2 linked regions of the Callithrix jacchus genome follow. The protein of the gene in region 2 purifies or fractionates together with the protein of the main gene of each other region. This does not show direct contact. Links are inferred from orthologs where the notes say so. Each region holds a gene or a part of one and is shown on either strand. Other genes may lie near its edges. The genes, in order: CLTCL1 and CLTB.

The links.
Region 1: the proteins of CLTB (region 2) and CLTCL1 purify together in Homo sapiens (affinity purification with mass spectrometry; 3 studies listed by BioGRID and IntAct, with this or other methods). This does not show direct contact. The link is inferred for Callithrix jacchus from reciprocal best matches to the Homo sapiens genes CLTB and CLTCL1.

Annotation. Positions count from the first base shown.
Region 1 is NC_133502.1:210,881,801-210,885,609, reverse strand, and holds part of CLTCL1 (clathrin heavy chain 2), read left to right. Parts: intron 1-1,665; coding exon 1,666-1,839; intron 1,840-2,846; coding exon 2,847-3,044; intron 3,045-3,809. UniProt on the Homo sapiens protein: Clathrin is the major protein of the polyhedral coat of coated pits and vesicles. Two different adapter protein complexes link the clathrin lattice either to the plasma membrane or to the trans-Golgi network.
Region 2 is NC_133503.1:70,797,937-70,802,396, forward strand, and holds the start of CLTB (clathrin light chain B), read left to right. Parts: upstream 1-1,576; 5' UTR 1,577-1,751; coding exon 1,752-1,938; intron 1,939-4,460. UniProt on the Homo sapiens protein: Clathrin is the major protein of the polyhedral coat of coated pits and vesicles.

The sequences.
Region 1 (3,809 bases), on a different chromosome or scaffold from region 2:
CTGGGTCAGGGGCACATGCCCATCGCAGACTCCCCTGACCACTCTGGCCACTTCACGTTCCTACTGGTGCTTCCACTGGTAGCTAGACAGCATCCCATGTTGTGATGTCTTTCCCTTGGTTACCATCAAGGTAGAATTGATTTATTAGCCACTCATATGCATCTGGTTAATTGGCTTCTCCTAATCTTTGCATTTTTTTCTATCAGGATATTTTTTTTAAAAGTAGAGATGGGTCTTGCTATGTTGCCTAGGCCAGTCTAGACCTCCTGGCCTCGAGCAGTCTTCCTGTCTCAGCCTCCCAAGTAGCTGGGGTTACAGGCGTGTGCCCAGCTCCAGGATTTTTACCTTATTTGTAAGAGCTTTTTGTACTTACAGAATACTAAGTGTCTGATGTATTCTGAATATTTTTCCCAGTCATAATTTGTGGTATGTGCCACTTTATTGAAAGTTGCATTTTTGTGTGTCAATGGCATCATGTTTTGAGAATACTTCTGTACCCCAAGATGATCACAACATTTACCTATATTTTCTTTCATTCCTCTCCTAATTGTGTTTGTTTTTTATTTAAAATCTTTGACCCATCTGTAATTTATTTTCATCTAGAGAGTAAAACAGAAATTCAGTTCCTTGCTCTTACTTCCATCTCCAGATAGCTAGTTGACTATATTAATAATATATGCTATATATTGATTAAAGTGCCTGTTTTCCACGAATGTGTTACCTACTAATTGTTTATTGTTTCAGAGTTGGAGTCTTGCTTTGTTGCCCAGGTTGGACTCAGAGTCCTCGGCTCAAGTTATCCTCCTGCCTTGGCTTCCCAAGTGGCTGGGACTATAGTCCTGTGTCACCACACACTCATTCTTACTAAATCCTCATACATGATTCATTCTCTTTCAGGGCTCTCAATTAAGTTCTATTTCCCTCTCTCTCTCTCTCTCTCTCTCTCTCTCTCTCTCTCTCTCTCTGTCTCTCTCTCTTCCAATGGTAAAATTTAATGTATATGTTTAATAATGTGGTTGGGCAAATGCATCTTTTTTTTAACCCATCCCCTTCAGGTTTTCTTGTGTGTTAAATATTTTTCTGTAAAAGTTAATAGCATTTGGCAAAACTCAAAGGTTACTAAGTGGTGGTGGAAGGCGCGCTGGGACATTAACTTGTCACTTTAGGTCTTTGTCCAGAACTTTCCCCTTCTCTTATGAACTCACAGCTTGCTTAAAGGGGTTTGATAAACCGAAAGGATTGCTCTACCTGAAAGATAAATGGAGTAGCCTGAGTCTATCGGACCTTTATTTGAAAGTAGTTGGACAAAATATTGGCTTTAAAACTAATTCTCAATCAAGTACAACTTAGAATCCATGTCTCAGTGAAGCATTGCTCCCACCAGTAATCTCTTGGCCTGAGAGACTGAAGAATCCTCATAATAGCTGAATGTGGCAGCTCACACTTGTAGTCCCAGCTACATTGGAGGCTGAGATGGGAAGATCACCTGAGCCCAGGGGTTGGAAGCTGCAGTGAGCTATAGTGGCACCACTACACTCCAGCCTGAGTGACAGAGCAAGATCCTGTCTCAAAAAAAAAATCCTCTTTATCATTTATGAACTCTTTTTACCCACATGGCTCCTCCTTTTTACTTCTTAACTTCTTGCTGTCGTTGTCTTCTGACAGATTGGAGCTAAACATGGTGTTATTTACTTGATCACGAAGTGTGGCTATCTTCATCTGTACGACCTAGAGTCTGGTGTGTGCATCTACATGAACTGTATTAGTGCTGACACAATATTTGTCACTGCTCCACACAAACCAACCTCTGGAATTATTGGTGTCAACAAAAAGGGACAGGTGTGTAACTCTGATGTTTTGTTTTCCACCTTTTCCATTCATTAGGGACTGGTGTTTACTTTCCCTCTTCTTCAGGAAAGTGGCTGGGCATAGTTTATCAATGGTTCCTGTTATTAAAACTTAAATCTATGTCTCCTTCTCCTTCATATTGGCACTTCCCCTCTTCAGACAGCACCATTTCTAACACAGGATTGATTCCAGGAGAGCAGCTCCTTCCCGCACGAAACAGCAGTTCTGATGCCCAACACATCATCTTCAAACCACGCACACCCTAATTTGGGAGGGTTGGAAAAGCAGATACTATGGTATTGAAGTTACTTTTCTCAACCATAGTTGAAAAAGATAGTTAAAATAAGAAACTCTTGTGTGGGCACATAGTTTATGCCTGTAATCCCAACTAAATGGGAGGTTGAGGCAGGAGGATGGCCTGATCCCAGGAGTTTGAGGCTGCAGTAAGCTATGACCACACCATTGCACTCTAGCCTGAGTGAGATAGTGAGAGCCTCTCTCTAAAATTGAAAAAAAAAAAAAAAAAAAAGGAACAGTGGCTGATTCCTATAATCCCCGCACTTTGGGAGGCTGAGGCAGGAGGATTACTTGAGGCTAGGAGTTTGAATCTAGCCTGGGCAACATAGTGAGATGCTGTCTCTACAAAAATATTTTTTAAAAAAGAAAGAAAAGAAACTCTGTGCTTTAAAAATAAAAAGTTTAAGAAGACAAATTATCAGTTCCATCCACATAGATCATTTTGCTGTAGTGCAGATTGCATCACTGGGGTGCTTATCCATGTGACTTTAACAACTACGTAGACTCGTATGCTGTTCTGCTTTCTTACCTTTCAGCTTCCATCTCCTTTGCATCCTCTCACTACGAGGGCCACCGTCACTGGTGTGCTCAACGCTCGCCTGAGAAGGTGGCTTCCCTCCGGCATCGGGAGGGAACACGGCAGAGGGATGGTGGAGCACTCCTCTAGGCTCAGCCGCTCTCACTTGTTGGGTCCTTTACAGGTGCTGTCAGTTTGTGTTGAGGAAGATAACATTGTGAATTATGCAGCCAACGTGCTTCAGAATCCAGAACTCGGTCTGCGTTTGGCCATTCGTAGTAACCTGGCTGGGGCAGAGGAGTTGTTTGTGAGAAAATTCGGGACCCTCTTTGCACAGGGGAGCTATGCTGAAGCCGCCAGAGTGGCAGCGTCTGCACCAAAGGTGATAAACCTCGAATACTGTTCAAGTGTTCTGAGTGTTAAGAACCAACCTTGAGAGGAAAATAAGTCATACAAGTATTTCACTACTAATATTGCAGTGTATTTGTGTTAGGAGTTTTTCGTTTAACATTTTTGCACCAATGGCCTAACAGTTAAGGAGGTAAACAGAAAAATTATCCACAGTCTTCCTGTATCAGCAGTTCTGGTCTCCCATTTTGTGTGCATACATACCTCTCACCCAGCAGCTTAGGTACAGTTTCACATTTTTGTGACTTAGAATTTTCTACTCCTGCTACCTGGTTGTCAAATATAACTACAGTACATGAAGTGGTTGTTCCCTGTTTTATTTAGCAGTAGTCCGACTCTGGACTTTCTCTACTCTTTTCGAATATACATTTCTGTATGTGGCTTTTTCTTTGGTTTATTTCATTTGGATAAATTTTTCAGAGACTGGATCTGCTCCTGAGTAGATAAAGATTCCAAGTTGCTTGTCCTTGAAAGAATTTTTCTTGTCTTTCAAGGGGTAGTTATGAACAAACCATTTCTAGCCTTCATCATGAATTTAAGTATTTTGAAATAGAATATAATGATAGCAGAACTTCACTACTGCAAGACTGACTGAGAAGCCTAATTCTCCCTGCAGCATGCTGGGGGAGAAGTAAGAGCCTAGGTGTGAAGCCACCTGTAGGACCTAGAGTCCCTCATACTTTCAGTTATTGTTGAAGGTAGAAGCAGTTGCCTTGGTAGAGGACTTTTTGTCCATGAC
Region 2 (4,460 bases):
TTCCACAAAAAAAAAGTTAGCAGTAATGAATGAATTCAGTAAAGCAGCAGGACGCAAAGGCAATGCACAAAAATTAAATTTCTATGCATTAACAATAAGCAATCAAAAAAGAAGGTAAAACTTCCATTTACAATAACATCAAAAAGGCCAGGTGCAGTGACTCATGCCTGTAATCCCAGCACTTTGGAAGGCTGAGCTGAGAGGATCACTGAGCCCAAGAGTTGAGGCTGTAGTGAGCTATAATTGTGCCACTTCACTCTAGCCTGGGCAAGAGTGAGATCCTGTCTCAAAACAAAAACCAAACAACAGCAACAACAAAAACCCATGCAAATGGACAGCAATAAATAAATACATTTAATTAAATAAACCAATTTTAAAAAACCACTTTAACATCAAAAGGTGCTCAAAGTATTACCAAGTAAACTGCAAGTTCCAGCTGGGCTTGGTGGTTGACACCTGTAATCCCAGTACTTAGGGAGACCAAGGCAGGAAGATCCTTAGAGCCCAGCAGTTCAAGACCAGCCCAGTTAATACAGCGAGGCCATCTCTAAGTAAAAATATTGAAAAGAAAAAAAACAAAAAACTCTGGAAGTTTCTTTCCTTCACCCTACGTCCACTTCCACCCCCAGCTTCGGGCACATCTTTCCTTTCTCTCCTCCAGTCCATATTTCATGGTTGCCCTTTAAGTCCCACATTAGAAATAGCAGACAGCCCAAATCCCATGATGTTTCTTGGCATCGTCTCCGTGTACCCCGTGTTTAAATGTCACAGCACCTCACACACAGTGCTTTGACGGACCATTTGCCATCTGTTGTCTCACTGGATTATAATCTCCCCAAGGCCAAGGCTGGATTTTACAAAACGTTGCTGTCCTGGTGCTTGGCAAAGCGCAGGCAGGGAGGAAGCGTTCAGAGCCTCTTCGCGGAGGGCAGGGGGCAGCGTGGAGAGTGGCAGGCTGCCTGGGTAAACCAGGTCTACCTTTCTCAGGCTGGTTCATACCTAAAGGACATTTAAGGGGCCCAGTTTCTAAGCAGGGGCTCAGCCAGGCCATCCAAACTCTGGTCGTATGAGCTGAAGCCTCCTTAAAGGAGACACACAAAAAAATGCGCAAAGCAACACGGCCTAGTGGAAAAGGACCTGGACTTGCATGAAAAGGTGCGGAGCAGGCTTTCGCAGTCTCAATTCTTCTCCTCTTACGGAGGCAGAGACTCAGAATGAGGTGCTTGACATCCCAGAAACTTTTGCAGAATGAATCAGCAGCCAGGTCTGCGCTCCCGGGGCCAGGGCTGGCCGCCTGTCGCGGCCCTGTGCACGGTACGGCCACTTTGTGCCCTGCGTTTCGCCTCCAGACCTGGCGTGAGCTGTGCATCGCCCAGGTGTCCTGGACAGGCGCAGCTGGGCGCCGCCGCGGAGGGAGGGGAGCGCCGCCCCCGCCGGTCCCGGCCCCGCGCTGCGCCCAGGCCTGCTGCGCCCTCCTGCGGTCACTGCTTGGAGACCTCCCGGCCCTGCGCCCCGCCCCCCTCAGTGACGTCACCGCATTCCGGCCCCGCTCCTCCTGCCGCGGCGCCAGCACCGCAGTGACAGCGAGCCGGGTCCGGTGGCGGAGAGGAAGTGTGGTCCGCGCCAAGCCCGTCCCCGCCGACGCCGGCTCCCCGCGGCTCGGGTGACAGCGTCGCGGCCGCCGGGCGCAGCGCGGGGCAGGCGCGGGCAGAGCCGAGCGCAGCGGAGGCTCCGGCGGAGGCGCGGGGAAAATGGCTGATGACTTTGGCTTCTTCTCGTCGTCGGAGAGCGGGGCCCCGGAGGCGGCGGAGGAGGACCCGGCGGCCGCCTTCCTGGCCCAGCAGGAGAGCGAGATCGCAGGCATAGAGAACGACGAGGGCTTTGGAGCACCTGCAGGCGGCCATGCGGCCCCCCCGCAGACGGGCCCCGCGAGTGGGGGTGAGTCAGCGCGGGGCCTGGAGCGGGGCTTGGGGCGCGCACCCGGGGGACCCCAGCCGGGGCCCAGCGGCACAGGGAAGAGGGCCTGTTCTAGGCCAGCTGGGGCAGGAGCTGGGGGGGACGTGGGGAGAAATCTTCTTAGAGATCTCCACGTAGGACCTCCGAACTGGGATGAGGCCTCGCCTGGGCTGTGGATCCAGCGACTCCCGGGACAGGAATTCGGTCATGACATTTCATCCCTAGGCCAGCTTCCCCGCTGCCGGGCTCTGGAATCCAACCCCGGGTCAGTTTTCGGAGTCCTTCCTGAGCTTCGTAATAGCCTGGCTGTCCCAGGCTCCCAGCTAAGTGTGCAGGTGTGGGCAGAACACAGCCTCCTGGCCCCTCAGCCTTAGCTCTCTCCTGCAGCTGGGAAAAAAAGGGGGACCCTGGGTGCTGTGGGAACTCACTAACCTTCCCCAGGGACCACCTGCCTTTCGGCAGCCAGTGAGCTAAGTGCCTTGATTACATTTAATCACTTCATACTCGTTATTGAACCCATTTCAGAGATGGTAAAACTGAGGCTCAAAGGCATAAGCTATTGAAATAACTAGTAGTGGCAGATCAAGAATTTAAACCTGTTTCTTTTTCTTTTCTTTTCTTTTCTTTTTTTGAGACGGAGTTTCGCTCTTGTTACCCAGGCTGGAGTGCAATGGCGCGATCTCGACTCACGGCAACCTCAGGCTCCTGGGTTCAGGCAATTCTCCTGCCTCAGCCTCCTGAGTAGCTGGGATTACAGGCATGCACCACCATGCCCAGCTAATTTTTTGTATTTTTAGTAGAGACGGGGTTTCGCCATGTTGACCAGGATGGTCTGGATCTCTTGACCTCGTGATCCACACGCCTCGGCCTCCCAAAGTGCTGGGATTACAGGCTTGAGCCACCGTGCCGGGCCTATTTCTTTTATATATATATTTTTTCCTTTTCCTTTTTTGAGATGGAGTCTTGCTATGTGGCCCAGGCTGGTCTTGAACTCCTAGGCTCAAGCAAACCTCCCACCTCTTCCTCCCAAAGTGTTGGGATTACAGATGTGAGACACTGCACCTGGCCGTGAATTTAAACCTGTTTCTGTCAGACTCAAAGCCCTCTCCACCTGACCACACTGCCTTCCAAGTGTCTGGCTCTGAGTTAGACACGGGGGTGTGGGTTGCAACGAAACATTGGTCAGATGCGGTCCAGCCCTGCAGGGTTTTGTGGTTGCTGACTCAATGGTTTTCCAAAGGTGGTCCAGGGCTATTATGATTTCTTGTGTTTGGCTTCAGACCTCAGAGTTCAGGGCCTGGTCCTGGAAGATCATCTTTTCTTTTTCTTTTCTTTTTTTTTTTTTGAGACAGAGTTTCGCTCTTGTTACCCAGGCTGGAGTGCAATGGTGCGAGGAGATCATCTTTTCAATGATGTTCCTGCTCTGGTTCTGGCTAGCAAGAATGATTTTGTAAAATATTTAGTAAAAAAGTAGGTATCACCTTATGCGTGCATCCGAAACAGGCCTTACTGTTAATGTCACTTTGGAGAGGTTTTGTTGTAATAAGTGCTGACTTATATACAAATAGATATATTTTGGTTAATGATGTTTACAAGGCTCTTCAGAGTCATGTTTGTATTCATTCAGCATTTGCTGAGCACCTACTGTATTCCAGGTCACTGGGGATACAGAAATGAGTATGACAGTTCTTGTGGCTGAGAAGTTTGAAGCAACCCTGTATCTCCTTGATATTAGAAATGTAACCAGGCTTTTGTAACATGCAGGAAACTGGTGGCCCAGAGAATTTGAGTATCTTACCTAGAGTCACACAGCCAGGTGTGACAGATCTAGGACTCGATCCCAGGCCTCTCAACTCTGGGCTCCGTACTCTTTCAAATGCTGTGGAGCCTGGGCAACATGGTGAAACCCCATCTCTACAAAACATGCAAAAGTTAGCCATGTGTCGTGCCATGCAGCTGTAGTTATAGTTCCAGCTACTTGGGAGGCTGAGACAGGAGCCTCACTTGAGCCCAGGAGGTGTAGGTAGGTTGTAGTGTGCCGTGATCATGCTACTGTAGTCCAACCTGGGCAACAAAATGAGATCCTGTCTCAAAAAAAAAAAAAAAATGCTGTAGCAGTCACCTTCCTGGGAGGAGATAGGATGTGGGGATGAGAAGCAAGGAGTCTTTTGCCACCTGTCTGAGACAGCAATGGAGGGCTTCTGAAGTGGCAGCTCCCAGCACCTCAGCACAGATCCTGCCCTGCCCCGCCCCAGGGAATTCCTAAGAAATGCCTGCCCCAGTTAATGCACCAGTATTCATTGGTCCATACCTCTGTGAGACCACCCTTTTCCTCAGTCTGGCTCACTGGGGTCTGTTGGGGGAGGGGTACAGGGTGGAGGAGGGGTGCAGGGCAGAGGAGGGATGCCTGGTGGGGAGGTGTTGCTGAGGGGAGCCATTTTCAGAACTCCAGGAGAGAGAAGATGGGATTCAGGCCAAGGGCAGTCAGATGCCTCTGGGAGTTG